Ovis aries: one gene and its partners. The protein of the gene in region 1 interacts with the protein of each later gene in a pairwise test. Links are inferred from orthologs where the notes say so. Each region holds a gene or a part of one and is shown in the gene's direction. Other genes may lie near its edges.

What was found. The genes of interacting proteins can lie anywhere in the genome.
Region 2: the proteins of ADAMTSL4 (region 1) and AMMECR1 interact in binary tests that used the Homo sapiens proteins (3 or more experiments, as listed by UniProt). The two-hybrid records come from large-scale screens. The link is inferred for Ovis aries from reciprocal best matches to the Homo sapiens genes ADAMTSL4 and AMMECR1.
Region 3: the proteins of ADAMTSL4 (region 1) and OTX1 interact in binary tests that used the Homo sapiens proteins (3 or more experiments, as listed by UniProt). The two-hybrid records come from large-scale screens. The link is inferred for Ovis aries from reciprocal best matches to the Homo sapiens genes ADAMTSL4 and OTX1.
Region 4: the proteins of ADAMTSL4 (region 1) and SMARCC1 interact in binary tests that used the Homo sapiens proteins (3 or more experiments, as listed by UniProt). The two-hybrid records come from large-scale screens. The link is inferred for Ovis aries from reciprocal best matches to the Homo sapiens genes ADAMTSL4 and SMARCC1.

What each region holds. Positions count from the first base shown.
Region 1 is NC_056054.1:100,567,438-100,571,661, forward strand, and holds the start of ADAMTSL4 (ADAMTS-like protein 4), read left to right. Parts: upstream 1-1,424; 5' UTR 1,425-1,609; intron 1,610-1,753; exon of another isoform or gene 1,754-1,836; intron 1,837-2,326; exon of another isoform or gene 2,327-2,441; intron 2,442-3,015; exon of another isoform or gene 3,016-3,249; intron 3,250-4,142; 5' UTR 4,143-4,224. UniProt on the Homo sapiens protein: Positive regulation of apoptosis. May facilitate FBN1 microfibril biogenesis.
Region 2 is NC_056080.1:124,958,575-124,962,728, forward strand, and holds the start of AMMECR1 (nuclear protein AMMECR1), read left to right. Parts: upstream 1-1,354; 5' UTR 1,355-1,396; coding exon 1,397-1,869; intron 1,870-4,154.
Region 3 is NC_056056.1:45,201,511-45,205,627, reverse strand, and holds the start of OTX1 (homeobox protein OTX1), read left to right. Parts: upstream 1-1,317; 5' UTR 1,318-1,426; intron 1,427-2,113; exon of another isoform or gene 2,114-2,192; intron 2,193-2,553; 5' UTR 2,554-2,622; intron 2,623-4,117. UniProt on the Homo sapiens protein: Probably plays a role in the development of the brain and the sense organs. Can bind to the BCD target sequence (BTS): 5'-TCTAATCCC-3'.
Region 4 is NC_056072.1:51,970,300-51,974,485, forward strand, and holds the start of SMARCC1 (SWI/SNF complex subunit SMARCC1), read left to right. Parts: upstream 1-1,386; 5' UTR 1,387-1,511; coding exon 1,512-1,706; intron 1,707-4,186. UniProt on the Homo sapiens protein: Involved in transcriptional activation and repression of select genes by chromatin remodeling (alteration of DNA-nucleosome topology).

The sequences.
Region 1 (4,224 bases):
AACTTAAAAATAAATGCTTTAGCAATCTTGTCCTGCACCCCACAAAATAACAGGAGTCTCAGGGATTCCCTGCCAGTTTACCCACCACCCAGTGAGCCTGAGTTTAAAGTCAGAAAGCAAAAAAAAAAAAGTCAGAAAGCAGGCCTGGGCACCTGGGACTCATCTGTTTGTTCTGTTTCATTCCAAATATTTCTATTAACTCTACAAATACAAAAACCAAAACAGAAATACAAAAGATGAAAAAACAGAGATGACACAAAGTGGCCTAAATGGTCCTTGTCTTGAGAAAACTTAGGGGTTTATTGAAATAATAATAAATCATAATAAAATTATAATTTTATAATATAAATTATATAACTTATAAATTATAATAAAATATAGATATTGAACTTCAAATAAGGATATAATACTTATACTTAAAAGCATTTTATGTTTTCACTTCCCTCATCTCTTGAGACAACATTTGCTTCTGTTGAGTCCAGTACTTACCTCCCAAGTCTGTCTCCAACTAGACCCAACTCCTTAAGGCCAGAGGCTGTTCTAACTGTGCCCTCCACACCAAGTGCAGAAAGTGCTCAATAAGTATTAGGTGGGAACACCTGATACCCTGCTACTGAATATCCTGGTTTTAAAATATTGACAAGTCACTGGAAAAAAATAAATAAATAAAACCTTTCAAATGCTTGAGAGTAGACCCAACAGTACATGACTGTAGTTCATGAAAAAATGGCAAATAAAACTTTTAAAATAGTGGTGACAAGAAAAATAATGACTTTATCTACTCTGTCATTTTACGTGTATTATTTATTTCTTTACCATAAAAAACAGATAATGCCTGTGGTTAAACATTCAAAAACATATAAGCATACAGAGTAAAAAAGTGAAAGCTTATATTTTTATTTTCCTCTCCCAACCCCTCCCCAGCTGCTGCCCCCAGTTCCGAGTTTGGGATGTATTCTTCCTGATCTAAGTAACTAGGCAGACATATCTCCAAGCCTATTCGTGTATGTCAGGTTAACCCCATTTTACAGATGAGGAAACTGCAGCACAGAAAGGTTGAAGCATTCATCCAAGATCACAGAGGGAGATTCAAATCCAGATCCTCTGATTCCTAAATCAGCGCATTCCTTGCGCTACGCCCCGTAGGTAACATTTATGGATGAAGAAACCGAGGCTTAGAGGGTCCCTGAGCAGTCAGAACCACATGGTTCACAGTCCAATTTAGGAGAAGCAGGGATAACTGGGCTTGCACGGGAGGCTGCGTGATGGAGAGGGCCCTGACCAACGTGGAATCGAGGTCAGGCTTGACCATCTCCCAGCCCAGCAACGCCCCAATGTGGGGCGCGGGGCTCGCCCACGCCGCTCGGGTACCGGCGCCACCAACCCCTTGGCGCCCCTCGCGGCCGCTCCGCCCGGGCTGGCGCAGCGCTCGCACCGCCCACTCAGAGCCGGTCGGGAGACCGCGGTCCCGGAGACCCGAGCCCCAGCCGGGTCGAGGGACAGCCCTGGCGCGATGGCTCCCTCGGAACCCGGCTGGGACCTCCTCGGCCTCGCCCCCTGGAGCGGTCGGCAGGTGCCGGGCGGGAGCGGCCAAGGCCCGCAGCCCAGGGTGGGTGGCCCTGGCGGGCTGGGGATTCGGGGGCCGCCGGGGGGCTGCCGCCGGGCGCGTGGCGGGCGGGCTGGCGGGGCGGGGCGGGGCGGGGCGGGGGCGGAGCCGCGGCCGGAGGCGGCCGTAGCCCGGCCCAGGGGCCGCAGTGGCTGCCGCGGAGCGAGGCTGCCTGGAGGGAGCGCCCGGGCGCAGAGGGGTTAGCTGGCCGCCGGGGCCGCGCAGAGCAGGTACAGATCTTCCCTGGGACCCCTGGCCCCGGTCGCCCTCTCTCCCCCGTCTGGTTAGACCATCCGCCCCACGCCGCCGCGCCGTCCGGGTTCTCCGAGCCCCGCGGTCGCGCCCCAGCCACGACCCCGGCCCCAGTTCTTATAGCCTCGGAAGATCTTCCAGTCCCTGGGGTCCAATTCCTGGGGAGGGGGCTCTGATCTCTTGGAACGCTGGCCCCATCACTCGGACGAAGAATCAGCCAAAATTCCTACACAGAATAAAACTGGAAAACACACCCAGGAGCTCCCGGCACGCGCCGGGCACCTCCTGCCCTTCCCCTCTGGAACGGTATTTCTGGATGATGCGTTCCTCCCCCATCCCCCCAACCCTGTCATCCGCTTCCGTCCTGGGTTGGGGGGCACAGACGCTGGGAGGGTTACAAGTGGGTGCCCCGAATCCAGCTCAGCCTGACGACTAGAAAGGCAGGACACCTGTTGGGTGGGCCTCCAGGACCCAGGAGTGGCACAAGGAGGACCAAGGAGTTCTCGCCCAAGACAAGGACTCTGCAGCCAGCCCTGGAGCCCTGGACCCACCCCCTGCCCCTCAGTGCCACTGTTCCCCAGAGGTAGGTCTCTTGGGGTTAGTGAAGCGGTTAGTTCTGCCCAGGTCACTCCTCCTTGATCTCCACTGGCCAGTGTGGAGTTGTGGCAGGGAGGAGCCCAGGTTTGTCTAGACCAGTGTCAGCCGGGCCCAAGAATGGCCAGTTCTGTCTGACCTCTCCTTTCTTCACTCTGGACAGTGAGGCTCACCAGATGAGAAACGGAAAACATGAAAAGACTGAAAACCACAAATGTGTATCTGTTTCTGCAGCGTTTGTGTGTGCCTGTGTGTGCATGTGTCGGCCCCCTGCCCAGCTATGCGGGGGGTGGGGTAGGACTTTTCCAGAGAGGGAGCCAGGCCTGGCCCTGGCCCCAGGAGCTCACGTCACCCCACCCCCCACCCCTCACTTCTCCAGGGAGCTGCCAAAGCCAAACCCAGCTCAGGACAGGATTATGTGTACTGGGTAGACCCATAGAGAGAGACAGCTAGACACAGGCCTGGGGTAGCAGAGAGAAGCAGAGGCAGAGGAAGTGGAGAGGGGACCCAGCAGCAAGAAGTGGCAGTGACCAGCCTCCCATCTCCTTCTCTTCAACCACCAGGAAGGGAGTCAGGCTGAAAGCTGAAGGTTTGGGTGGAATGTTGGCCCTTCTCTGGAGCCCCTACCCGCCTCCTCATCAGGGCGGAGTTGCTGACCTCAGTGGTCAGCCCAGCCAAGGGAAGGAGCAGCCATCAGCAACCCCCTTCACAACCCCAAGTAGCTGAGGAGACCGTTCGGGCACAGGCCCCGCCACTGTGATCCTTCTCAACATCCCAAGCGCTGGGGTCTCAGGGAGGTGAGGGGGAATGGATTTGCTACCTCCAAGCACATTCCTGCCCTTCCCTCTGTCATTTTCCTGCCCCTGAGCTGGCCCACCTCAGCATTAGCTCCTTGGATTCCTCTCCCGGGTGCCTTTCAGATCCAACAGAAACATTTTTTTTTTTTTCCTGGAAAGCAGAGCTCAGAGCAGCATGAAGAGTGGGGGTGGGAAGGGTTCATTGTGAAGGGACTGGAGGGCCAGGGGGAGCCATGGGAGAGCCAGGCTTAGACCAGGGGAGGGTTCCAAGCTCCACTTCTCCAGTGATCAAGCTGAGACTGCAGGATGGACTTCCTGGCTCTTCAGAAGATAGACCCATGAGTGACTGGGGACCAATAGCCTCTCTAGCTGTATCTCCCCTCCCCAGCTTCCCCCAGCCATCAGAGTCTTGCCTGAAGGAAGGCCTCATTGATCCAATGCCAGAGGCTGGCCCCTAGAGGGAAGTTAAATATCACTGGGGAAAATCACCTGCTTCTCTAGAGATAAACCATCAGCCCATTTAGTTTATCCCTTGGCTGCAAAGTTTGAGATAGGCACAGTTGTGTCAAGTGTTCCAGAAGGAGCTTATTAGGTAAGAAGGCAAGAAAAGGCTGAGAAGCAGGTGGGAATGGAAAGCCCAGGGGGCTTCCAGTCAGCAGCTCAGAGAGGATGTCTGAAAAGTCCTCACTGAACCTCCCTCCTCAACCCTCTTAAGAAAGATGCATGTGTCTGAGCTGGCCTAGAGACAGTCGCTGTTTAGGACACAGGAGCTGAGAAGTTCCTGAAGCTGAAGGAGGGGACTGCGCCTGAGCTGGGAGGCTGAGGGCAGACCTCCACCCCTTCAGCTTGGGTAGATGGACAAAGGCAGTGCTCCTTTTCCCTCTCACCTTTAGGATCATTAAGGGATGGACCAATCTTCACCCCTCCATTCTCACTCTGAGTTGTCCTTCTGAGAAGTCATCCCTCCCAATCCCC
Region 2 (4,154 bases), on another chromosome or scaffold:
AAGAGTTGGACATCACTTAGTGACTAAATAACAACAGTGTCATAAACATACTAGGCAGAGAGGCTCAAAATTTGTTGACTTATTTTTCCCCTGGAGTGAAATGAACAGCCCTCACCTATCTGCAAGATATCACATATTTAGCTCAAAGGTGACAAAATCGATCAATCCTCTGATGCCTCCAAATATGTAGATACATCGCTTTGTCTAGATGTTTTGGCAAGGCATAGACACAACACAATAAGCTTAGACTTTCTGTTTCTATGAGGTTTCATTTCTATGAATATTTTACATTTGATTATTGTCTTGGGCGCCCAGAATGGGAGTGACTCAATCAAACGCCTCCTCATCCATCCAAGCATTCTTTGAGAAAATTTTAAAAGAATACTAGCAACTAATTATATACCTGAACAAAATCTTTCAACTTGTGACCAAGTATACTACCCGCCCTGTTTATCTGTAAGATCTGTGCTAACTACAGATATATTTCTAACTGCTTTGTTCCCAAGCCAATCCCCTCTCCCAATAACCCACCGGTGCAAGTTCCAGACCACAGTGAACATCTGTGAATCAGTGAGGTGTTGGTTAGGATTTTATTTTTTGCTTTTAAAGGTCTTTATGGGGCTAGGAAGGAAAGTTGAGGAACACGCATGGGGATATATAGAGTCGATTGGGCTGGAATGTCTGTCAATAAGGACAGAGTGTGTCTCTTTTACCGTATTCTTGGAAAAAAGATTATGTGCGTGTTCAGATGGAGTCACTGCAGTATGGCCCGTTCCCTGACTGATTCATAAGGGGCGATCTCAGGTGTGGAGTTCCAAGCACCTGCTTGATCACACTCCGGCAGTTCAGAACCTAGCGTATTTGAGGCCGGTGGCTCAGGTTCCACTTAATTTGGCTCAGGTGTCACTAACACTATGTGCGGTGCCCGTCACTGAGTCGTACTTTGGGACTTGGATACTTACTTCAGACTTTCTTGTTTCTCCCCGCTTCCTTCCCATTAGTTTCCCTTTCGCTCCTCCGTCTCCGGGGTGCCCACTTCCTCCCTTTGCTCCCATTCTCCGCTTTCTTCTCTTTCCTTCCTACTGGGCTTCCCGTCTCTCATCCTCGGAGGGCCGCGAGGCTCGAGGCTCAGGCTCGGCTCCGAGGAGGAGGAGGCGCGAGGCCGGCGGGACAGGCGCGAGGTGCCGAGCCGCGAAAGCGCGGGGCGCGCGCCGGGGCGGGGGCGCGCGCGGGCTGGCCGCGTGGCCGGGCGGCCGGACCAGGGAGCGGCGCGCGCGCGCGTGGCCCGCGAGCCCCTGGCGCGCCCCCGGCGGCCGGGGCCGCAGCGTGCTCGCCCCCGCCGCCAGCTCGCCTCACTTATGGGTCGGAAGCGCTGCGTGGGGGAGACTGTTCCAAGATGGCGGCGGGTTGCTGCGGGGTGAAGAAGCAGAAACTGTCCAGTTCGCCCCCCTCTGGCTCGGGTGGCGGTGGTGGCGCCTCCTCCTCCTCCCACTGCAGCGGAGAGAGCCAGTGCCGAGCCGGGGAGCTGGGACTAGGAGGCGCCGGTACGCGGCTCAACGGGCTAGGAGGTCTAGCCGGAGGAGGTAGCGGCAGCGGCTGTACCCTCTCTCCCCCCCAGGGCTGCGGCGGCGGCGGCGGGGGGATCTCCCTGTCGCCCCCTCCGAGCTGCGGAGTGGGGACCCTACTTTCTACCCCGGCCGCCGCCACCTCTCCCTCGCCCTCCTTGTCGTCCGCCGCCTCGTCCTCATCGCCCGGCTCCCGGAAGATGGTGGTGTCAGCGGAGATGTGCTGCTTTTGCTTCGATGTGCTCTACTGTCACCTGTACGGATACCAGCAGCCCCGGACCCCCCGGTTCACCAACGAGCCCTAGTGAGTACCGTGCCCTCCGCCGCCCTCTCCCTTGCGCTCGGGATGGGGCTCAGAGTTGAGGCAAAGTACGAGTCCGCCTCCCCGCCGGCCGCTGCCCCTGCCCCTCTGGCTGCCCCGGGTCCCTGGAGCCACTCTCCCTGAGTACGGGCACCCCGCACTTTCTGCCCTCTGAGACAAGCGCCCCACACTTGGAGAGGGGTGCTGCTGCGAGAGATGGCTCGCTGACTCCCAGAGGTGTTCGCTTTCTCTTTGAGGTAACTTCGAGGAGTTTTGACCCTCTCCTTCGCCACCCCGGCTCCCCATCTCTGGGTTTGGGAGCTCTGGATCCCTCACGGTGTTGACCTCTCCTGGATTGGGTTTCCTTGACCCCCAGTGAAAGTCCCGCCGGTGTTCCCGCCCCGCGTACCATGCACATGGAGCGTTACTATCCCATTGCAGCGTAAAAAATAGCAACTATCCAACTTCTGCTCTGCCAGTGATGGAACTTAGCTCCGGAGCCTATGAGCTTACCCATCTTTTTCCTTTGGGTTTCCTTGTGTCCTGGGGAGGGAAGACACATGTTCCCTTAGTACCTATTTTTATCCGAACTTACCCATTAAAATGTGTTTCTAGTGAAGCGCACCGCTGGCTCTCTCACATTTAAAGAGTGAGTTTTTTTTTTTTTTTAATTCCACCGTCTGGGTAATGGCTCATTCAAAGAGAGCTGTCCCCATAGAGCCACTGTCAGTTTGTACATTACGCGTGCACTCGCTTTTGTGTCTATTTCACTTTTAAGAAACCCATGTTAGGCTTGACGATTCGGGAACTAGTTAAACAGTAAGTGTGTAGGAATTTTTATGGTTTCCTCCGGTTTTGTACTTTTATTTTACCCTTCAAGTGTGTGGTTGAAATTGTTTAAAATAAAACTGTTACAGCTAAAAGCCAGGTTAATTCTAATCCCTGTCCATTTGGATGTGTGGGAGATGGGGCATGTGTTGTTTTTCTAATGTGTACACTTGAGTGTAAACTGACTTTTTGAGTTAAATGCTCAAGACGGAATGTAAAGCCTAAGGAAGGGCAGAATGACAAAGAGGGTGATTGTTTTTCTTATGAGTACTTAGCATCAATGGGTAAAATAATAGAGAAAAATTTCAGTGAAACTTACACTGAAAAGCATCAACCCTTTTTCTGGCTAAGACAAGTGCCCCTTGTCCCCATACCGTAAGTACCTAAATTGATGTTCTTTTAAAACTGCTTCTTTTCATTTTGTGAGATTAGGGGATTAACTGCAACTGGATAGTATAAACACTCTGCCTAGTCTAAAAATATTCATTTAATATGTAAAGTGAAAATTGCAATAAAGTATCCTGGAAATTGTAAATTCGTTTTGTTTTTCTTTGGCTTTGATACTTGAAATGTATTTCATTTTGTATTTTTGCTACTTTCCTGTGGTCTGTGCATTTTCTTTCAGACCTGGTTCCTTTTTGGGCATTGGTTCATAAGAAATGCTTGAAAGAGCAGAGACTGACACTTTGTCAAATTACATATCTTGATAACTTTCATAGTTTCAATTCTAAAAGCTTAAATCCTAAACCCACACCTGTACTTAGCCAATTTGCTTTTTGGTTAGGAAGTAGAACTCATTTTGAAAAAGACTGCCATGTAAAAAAAAAAAGTCTATGAAATATTTATTAGGTTGAGTCACTTATTTGTGACTTTTCTGCCTTCTCTTGGATGTCTATGGTGTATTAAAGCCAGTCCGGGGATGATACATAGGTTGGCTCAGCAAAGTCATGGAACTGCAAAAATTCTCTCCTGTTTAGTTATATGAGTTTGGCAAAGGCTATTTTACTATTCACGCTCCATTGCTCCAAAGCATATGCGAACACACTTTCAGGAGGTGCTATTTTCACACATTTTAAAGTGAGTTTGGGTTAACTGAATGACTGTAAGAAGAATTTTAAAAGGAAAGTGAGCTTGACCAGCTCATACAGAAACTGCTTTTGAAGGTGTCATTTAAGAGTGGCTACTTTATACACATATTTAAGTATTATTCCTCTAATACCCCACCCACTGGATTTATTTCTCTTGGAATTAAACAGAAAAAATAAGACACCCTTTGACCACTGTGGATATGTTGCAACAATGGTGAAAGAATAATAACTGTTATCATTTAGCAGGCCTTGACTGTGTGTGTCATGTATTCCACCAAACAACAAATTTAGAAGAGACACTGAACATGACCAAGGGGAGAATGGAAGTTCACTTAAGTGGAAAGAGGAGTGCATCTTTATTTTCATTTATCT
Region 3 (4,117 bases), on another chromosome or scaffold:
TCAGGGGAGTGCGCCCAGCGTGCCGGCCAACTCTTCCCGACAAACTAGTGCGCTCCAGTCAGCGCTTTTCCCCAGAACCGAAGGCGGGGGCTATATTTCGTTTCTAGCTTTAAATCTCTGCGCATCTCGGGGGCTCGGAGCCCAGGGCCTCGCGAACTATTCCCCCGCGGGGGCCTGCGCGAGCCTAATATGTGTCCCCACTCGAGTCAGCGCTGCGCTCTGCGCAGTTTCTTTTCCTGTTAAGGCTTTATCTTGTTCGTGTTTTTCCTTTTCTCTCATTCTTTTATTGTTTTCGCTCTCTCTTTCTCTTGCTTTTGTGAATGGGCCGCGGTGTCTTTGTTCTGGAGAGAAGCGCCCGTGTCGCTGACTTTTGTGAACCAGAGAAGGATCTTGTAAAACCTTTTCTCCTTCATACTCCCCCCCCACACCCCTCCTCTTTTGCCCCTTTGATTAGATGTTCCCTCATCGTCAAAAAAAAAAAAATGTAATTTCGTTAGTCTGGCGGCCACTTTCTTTGAACATTAGCTCGCTTTCAGCTCCAACTTCAATTAGAAGGAGTTGATTTTGAGAGATCAACAAAAGAACCGACCAAAGCCTTATTAAAGGTCCTAAGAAGATCTCCCGGGTTCTTTGAGAAGCAGTTAAGGAAACAGTGTGCCCTCCATCATATTCTGTTACCGTATTTTATTCGGACTCCAAAGGAAAGTGTCGCTTGGGGGAGGGGAAGCACTTTGATGAGCGGCGGCCGCGGCCCCTTTTCACTCAGCGGGCTCCCCCGTCCTTCTCCGCCACCTCCTCGCCCCGCGCCCGGTGCGTTCTCGGTGCCCTACCCCGCGGCCCCGCAGCGCCGGTGCTCCCCACTGCGAAGCGCCCGGCGGCTCCTAGACTCGCCCTCACACTTACTCTGGTTCAAACTTTTCACTCCGCCTGTTGAGGTGGAGGGGAGGGGGCGGGGGGGAGATTAAGAAGAAGCGGTAGGAATTCCTCGAAAGGGGGTAAGTAAAGTCGGCCTAATATTCAGGAGGAGGTGCCATTTAAAAGAATTGCATTACTCAGCGTTGGGGCGCAAACACTTTTTTTGCGCTTTGAAAAGTCCACCCAGGTAGACGTGTTTTGAGAAGTTTGTTCGACTGGGAAATGGGCTTCGCCAGTACGAACTATCCGGGGAGATCGCTCAAGGAGGCTCCGGCGGCATGAAGGAAGGAAACTGAGGGCAGAGTCTGTGGCCACGTTTTCCACTAGATTGTCCCCTAGTAAAAGGAGCCAGTGTGAAAGACAAAGTTTTCTATCCAAACCTTTTGATTCAGAAGTACAGTGTATGTGTAAAGGGGAGGGGACGCTGGGAGCCGACATTTCAAAAGAAGCTTTCAGGATTTGCAAACACCTATCGTGGGGACTGGAAACTCCAGGAGACGTCGAAGAGCAGGTAAGTGGCCGTGCCTCCCTTGCGGGTGCGGCTCAAGGGCACTGGAGTCCTGAGGCGCCGAGGCGGGATCTGCGCGCTCGGGTCTGCTCCCGCTCTCAGCAAAGTAGCCCGGACCAGCACGAGTTGCCCGCCGCGTGCGTCTGCGGGTGATGGCCCGGTGCATGAAGACTCTGGGGCCCGCGGATGGCCCGGTGCATGAAGACTCTGGGGCCCGCGGCGTCGGGAGAGGGGCCGGAGGCCGGTTCCCCTCCAGCCCGCAGCTCCCGGCTCCTCGCGCCCATCGGGTGGCGTGCCAGAGAGCGAGGGAACCGGTTCTCCAGCACCTCGCCTCCTCTCTGCCACTCCCTCCAGGGCGCCAAAAGGGCGAGAGAAGGGCGGGGAGCCCCGGGGCAACCTCAGGGCCAGCGTTTCCCTCCGCGGCCCGGGCTCCCGCGCGGCGCTCGCCTTGCTCGTCTTGCTCTGCGCTGCGTTTGCCAGTCTAGCCCCGGAGTTAGCGCGCGACCGGGGCGGGGCGGGCGGGCGGTGAGGGCGGGGTGCAGGGGGCGGGGGAGGGCGGGGGAGCGCGGAGGTAACCCCCGGCTCGTGCTGCCATTGCCCGGCTCCCTGTCACTCAGCCCGCGCGGGGCCGGGGATTGGCAGCCTAGCCCCGTTACGCACTCACCTCGCGTTCACATACCCGGGGAGGGCAGTAGAAAGGTGATCAATCTTCATCAGGCTACATTTCCAATCACCTAAACAACCCGGCGAGACAAGCCACTCCGACAAGGTAACTCGCTTGATTTATTTAGTTTGCAAAGTGCCTCTGCAGGACTTCCCCAGCCCCCACCGCCTCCACGCTGCACGGAGTGCCACGGCAACCTCGAGCCACCTCCCAGCTCTGCCCCTCTTACCCCCACCTTCTCCTTGCGGCCCCCTCGGTGCGGTCCCGGGTGAGGCACTGTGTCGGGAGCGTGTGGGGCTTTGCAAACAAAGTGTCTGTGCAATAAAGTGAAACCTGGAAGGACACGCACAAAGCCACTAGAAAGAAAGAGAAAGGGAGGAGGGAAGTTGGGGAAAGAAAGAAATCCCGCGGCTCCCTGACCCCCCGCCCGGGCCCGCGGTAATTCCTGTGCCGCTCTGTTTTGCAGGTTGGCCGTCCAGAGGGTCTGTGTGAGGGCGAGAGGTAGATGGTGAGCGGCCCCGGCAGCTGAGGGCAGGTAAGGAGAAAGCCGCTGGCCGCCCGGGACTCTGGGAACGCGTCGTGGCTCTTGCCCCCCGCCCCCCTCAAATGGGTCCCCGCTTCCCCGGTCCCTGGCATGTGGGGGGCGGGGCTGGGAAGCCACCTGGCTCCCCTCTTGCTGAGCGGAGGACCCCGGAGCTCCGCGGCGGCCCCGCACCCCTCCCCCGCCTCCTCCGAAGTAACCCAGCTAAAGTGCTAAGTTTGAAGAAAGTCTTTGAAAACTCACCATTGCAGTCTAGCAGAGTCGCCACAGCTGAGTCCCATTCTCCCTTGGCCCCGGCTCTTTCCCTTTTGTCGCCTTCCCTGCAAACCGAGTTTTCCCGGCCCAGGCCGTGGGTCCCTGGGGAGAGAAGCGGGAGACTTCTCTAGCTCTAACTTCTTTCTTTCCCTGAACTCTTCTAGCCCGGGTCCCAGGTCTGCTTTAAGTTCCTGTGAAGCGGGCTAAAGCGACAGGTCCTCTGGGGTCTCCGTCCCACTCTTCCAGCGCTACTTCCTGACTCCTGATTGTAGCACCTCCGTTTGGGGGGCAACCTGGGGAAGCCAGGCGTCGACCTTCCTGCCCGGGGCAGCGCGAACTACGCCGCAGAGGCCTAGTTCTCTAGTCTGGATCGGGTCCTCGGGCTCTGGTTCAGCTAGTAGAATAATCCGGAAGCGCACCAGACCTATTGCACTGAGGCTTCCCAAATCCGCCAGACCCTTGGGGCGCTGGTCAGGTCACCTTTCGACCCCGGCCGGGACCCCATTGTCCGCAGCCAGGACTGGCTTGCTCTGGGGAAGCACGGCCTGCGGCTGTGGCGAGGTGCGGGTGATCCCGGGCGGCGTGTTTGAACCGCCACCTGTACGGTGGCGCCTTCTGGTCGCCTCGGCCGGACCTGGGCTCGAATCGGTGGTAGAAGTGTGGGTGGGATTCCGGGTAAGCAATCTCTCAGCGGCCAGGCACAGAGAGGTAAACTGGTAGAGCGGCTGTGGGACCCAGCCGCGGAGACTCTGGAAGGATGTACTCAGTGAGCAATGCGTCCCGGAGAGGCCCAGGTGCCGCGAGCCCTCCGCTGTGCCTCACCTTGGCTCTCTGGAGTCTACCTGTCCGTTCCACTTTCAAAAACATTTGAAACAAAACGAAACAACCCCTCATGCTCTGGGTCTCCTGCTGCCTTGAGGTCGAGGGGATGTTTGCTTGTGTGGTGTGATGCCCTCTCCCACCCGAACAGATTTTTGCCTAGTCTTGGGACCTAGCGCACTCTGCGTTTTGGGCTCTGACCTCCCAAGGTTGCCCCCGATTTTAACCTCTCCTCACTCCTAGCGTCGCCCTACGAGTGTCTGTCCCATTCCAAGCCCGAAAAGAAGTGATAATGATCCAGAAATTTTACTTTTCAAAGAATCTGTGGTCTTCGGGCTAAGGCCTTATAGAGCCGAGTTCTGCACAGATCCATAGCCTGCGTCACCTCCCCATCCTGTGACTCCTTCCTCCGGCA
Region 4 (4,186 bases), on another chromosome or scaffold:
GGCTGTCTTTCTCTATTATTCACACTACTGCAGTAGCTACTTTCTAATCTATAAATCTGGTCATGTCGTTCTGTGTCTTCAAGCTGGTTTTCCAGTGCTTATAGGATATTCAAAATTCACTGCCACCCCAAGTAACATCTTTGCTTCCAGCCCATGGGCTTAAGGAGTTTCACCAAGCATGCTTTCACACTTTAAAGGCTTTGTTCCAGTTTTTTTTTTTTTTTTTTCCCCTCACGTGTTTGCAATCTCCCTTCCTCCCTGATCATATTCTTTTTTCTTTAAAGGCTGGTCTGAAAAACTCACAGCTTGTCACTTTCTGTTCTGGGGTCAGAGAGCATTATGTTCAAATCTCCATAACGGCCAATCACACTTCGTTAATAATTTAAAACTCTTCTGCCTCCCTATAAGTCATTCATTCTTTCATTAAATATTTATTGAACATCTGTTGGGTAACAGGCCTTCTCAGCACTGAGGGTACACCTGTGAGCAAGACTAGGTTCTTATGTAATTTATATGGAAAGTAAGAAAAATACCAAGTCATGGTGAGTCCTACCGCGACAATGTCGAGCGAGTATGATTGTTCAAGACTGCAAGGTCAGGAGGGATCACTTTTTTGAAGTACCTTTAAGCTATGATTTTGAAAGCGTCAAGCTTAGTTGGTAAAGAATCGCCTGCAATGCGGGAGACCTGGGTTCGATCCCTGGGTTGGGAAGATCCCCTGGAGAAGGGAAAGGCCACTTTCCCACTCCAGTATTCTGGCTGGAGAATTCCATGGACTATATTAGTACATGGGGTCGCAAAGAGTTGGATGCGACTGAGCGACTTTCACTTCACAAATGACACAATCAGAGGTCCAGGTCGCGGGAATAGCTGTTGCGAGCGCCCCAAGGCAGTAATGAGCTGGTGTGGCTGGAGCCGTGAGGGGGAAGGAAGGTGTGTGAAGCCGAAGGTGTGGGTCCCAGATGGATGTTTACAAAGGACGACAGGGTCACTACGTGCAGAAGGTCTGAAGGCAAGCGAGGACAGGCGCAGATTCCCACCCGGCGTGTGGGTTCCACTGCTGGCACGCGACACTTGAAACGCGCTCTCCTCTCGGAACATCTCACACCAGCTCCTTTCTCCCCGGCGGTGGCAGACGGTGACACAACCACCGTGCAGCTGTAGACTACATAACGATTCAACGCAGGTACCGGGGAAACAGCCACACGCGCGGAAGCCCAAGCTGTGAGGTGTAGCGGGTAAGCGGTCCGCGGTGCACGCGGAAGAGGCGGGTGGAGGGGCTCGTCCTAGGCCCGCCCGGCCCGAGTGCTGCGCATGCGTGCGCGCGTGCTCTCGTCGGTTAGGGCGCCGGTCCCGAGAAGAGGCGGGGCCAGGCTTCCGCGCCGGAAGAGGGTTGGCTGGGCGGGGCCGGGAGGCGGCGGTGGCGGCTGCGCGCGCGCGCGCGCGGGTGCGAACGGGGCACGCCGCGAGGGCCGGGGAGGGCCGGGCGGTGGGGACGACGGACGGCGACGATGGCCGCGGCGGCGGGCGGCGGAGGGCTGGGGACGACCACCGGCGCCGCGGGCGCAGGAGGCGCGGCGGCGGCCACGGGCCTGGCCGTTTATCGGCGGAAGGACGGGGGCCCGGCGAGCAAGTTTTGGGAGAGCCCGGAGACGGTGTCCCAGCTGGATTCGGTGCGGGTCTGGCTGGGCAAGCACTACAAGAAGGTGGGTCCGCGCGCCCGTAGGGGCCGAGGAGGCCACGCGACGGGGGCCGGGGGCGGCTGCTGGGCTCGCGGGCCTCGGGCCGCCCCTCCCCCCGCGCGCCACGAGGGACAACAAAGGCAGGCGCCGGGCCCGCCACGCCCCCGCCGCGAACTCTCGGCGCCCGCGCGCCCGCGGCTCCGCGGGCCCTCGGGGCGCCGCTCCTGGGAGCCCGGGCATCCGGGGCGAAAGCCCCTGCCCGCGCTTGTGAGGGAGCGGGTCGGGCTTCGTGACCGGGAGGTTGTGACTCTTCCTCTTTGTTAGCCGCTTTAGGTGTGTTAACAGTGGTTATTAAAACTGTCTGAGCCGAGCTGTAAGAGCCGCGGCAAGTTTTGTTTAAGAGACCAGTCTTCAAAGTCCAGTGAGGTAACCAAGGTTTTCTTAAACCTGTAGTTGATATGCTAAAGAAGGACTGTGGACCGCTGTACTCCGACGTCGGTAACTGCAGGTTAATATAATGGATCACAGTGTTCTTGGGGACTCACTAATATTGATAAAACGACGGCTTTTACTTCACAGTTCCCTCTGCTTATGTATAGTGGGAATTCGAGAGTTAATGTTGGCTTGTAGCTAATGTGAGGCTTTCCCTGAGAACCCCTTTCGTGTTAGGTCACCCCACTTCATATCACCTTCGTTTTCTTCATACTGTTTTTTTGGGATTATTTTCATTTACCTGCTTGTCTTGCCTTTGGAGTGTTAGTTGGACTGAGTCATTGGTACTGAAAGTTGTGACTTAGTCCCATTGTTTATAACAACTTTTTTAGTTTCCCCTTTATATAACTTATTTAGAAATGACTGACCCCCTTAGAAAGTGTAAGGAAGCCGACTGCCAAAAAAAAAAAAATTGCTCTCTGTGTCTCAGAATTTCCTGAACACCCTTCACAGTTCTCTAACTTCCTCCGTTGTGGACCATTGCCCTGGAGCTAGGACCTTGTTTGGCCTGTTCACTACAGTGTGCCCTGGAACATTTTTGATCCTCATTGCTTGACCCTTAGTAGTTGCTTAGTAAATATTTGTTGAATGAATGAAAAGATAAAGTAGTCTAGAAACCTACTTTAGGTTTCGGGTGTACAGTACAGTGAAACTTATCAGCCTTTGGAAGTTGTTAGGCATAGGCAGGGGTCTAAGGTTCTTCTGATACTCCACTGTGATACTTTCAGAACTCACCATTTCTTATCTCAAGTTTTGGGCTTCCCTGGTGGCTCAGTAAAGAATGCCCCTGCAGTGTGGTAGATCTGGGTTCCATCCCTGAATTGGGAAGATCCCCTGGAGGAGGGCATGGCAACCCCACTCCAGTATTCTTGCCTGGAGAATCCACATGGACAGAGGAGCCTGGCGGGCTACAGTCCATGGGGTCACAAAGAGTCTGACACGACTGAGTGACTAGGCACACAACACACACACATCAGTTTTTAGAAAGTGAGAGGTGACATATATTCTTACTTACAATATATTTTTTGGTGCTTTGACTTTATTCCCCTAGGAATTTTGGAGTCTCATTTGAGATTGTAGATTTTCCTCACTTATATGTTAAGTAGACAGTATTGTTTTTCCTTGTACATTGGTAAATTGGTCACTTTTTTTGTGTGTAAACAGTAGAGCTTATGGTAGTAGCTAAGGGAATTGAATATGCTTATATTATGAAATTATTGTTTATCACGTGCTTTTCAGGCAGTATTTTGGGTCTTAATATACCTTAATGTTTTTTAGTTAATTTTTTGGCTGCACTGGGTGTTGGTGCGCTCAGACTATCTGTCATTTCAAAGAGCCGGGGCTACTCTTCGTATGGGCTTCTCATTGCAGTGGCTTCTTTTGTTGTGGAGTACAGGCTCTAGGGTGCTCAGGGCTTCAGTAGTTGCTGCATATGGGCCTCAGAGCACAGGCTCAGTTGTTGTGGCATAGGGGCCTGGTTGCCCCACAGCATGTGGGCTCTTCCCAAACTAGGGATCAAACTGATGTCCCAGTGTTGCAAGGCGGTTTCTTAACCACTAGACCACCAGGGAAGGCCCAGGCTGGATTTTTTACCCCAGTTTTGTTGAGATATAATTGACATATAATGTTGTATTGCTCTATCAGTGTAGCTTTAACAGAGAGATACTCAGGAGGAATATTCCTTTGGATAGCAAGAAAGGGAATAGGAAGAAAGGAAGTACAGTGATAGTTATTTCTGCCTTTGCAGACTGCATCTCTTTTGGGCCAGGTTTCAGAGGGCAGCTTTAGGGTTGGATAGTCTTTCAGAGCTGGGTTTGGGTGGATGAGGAAGTGGCTGTGAGCCTGATTGCAAGAGAGGGTTGAAGCCAGTAGGCTAATGCTGGCTCCATGTCCCTGAGGCCTTGAAGACAGAGTTAACGTTATGTTTGACCTCTCAGTGTTTCATAAAACTGAAATGTATTTCTTAGGCCTGTTCAGATTCAGAATTGCATATCCTTGGACTTGATAGTCAG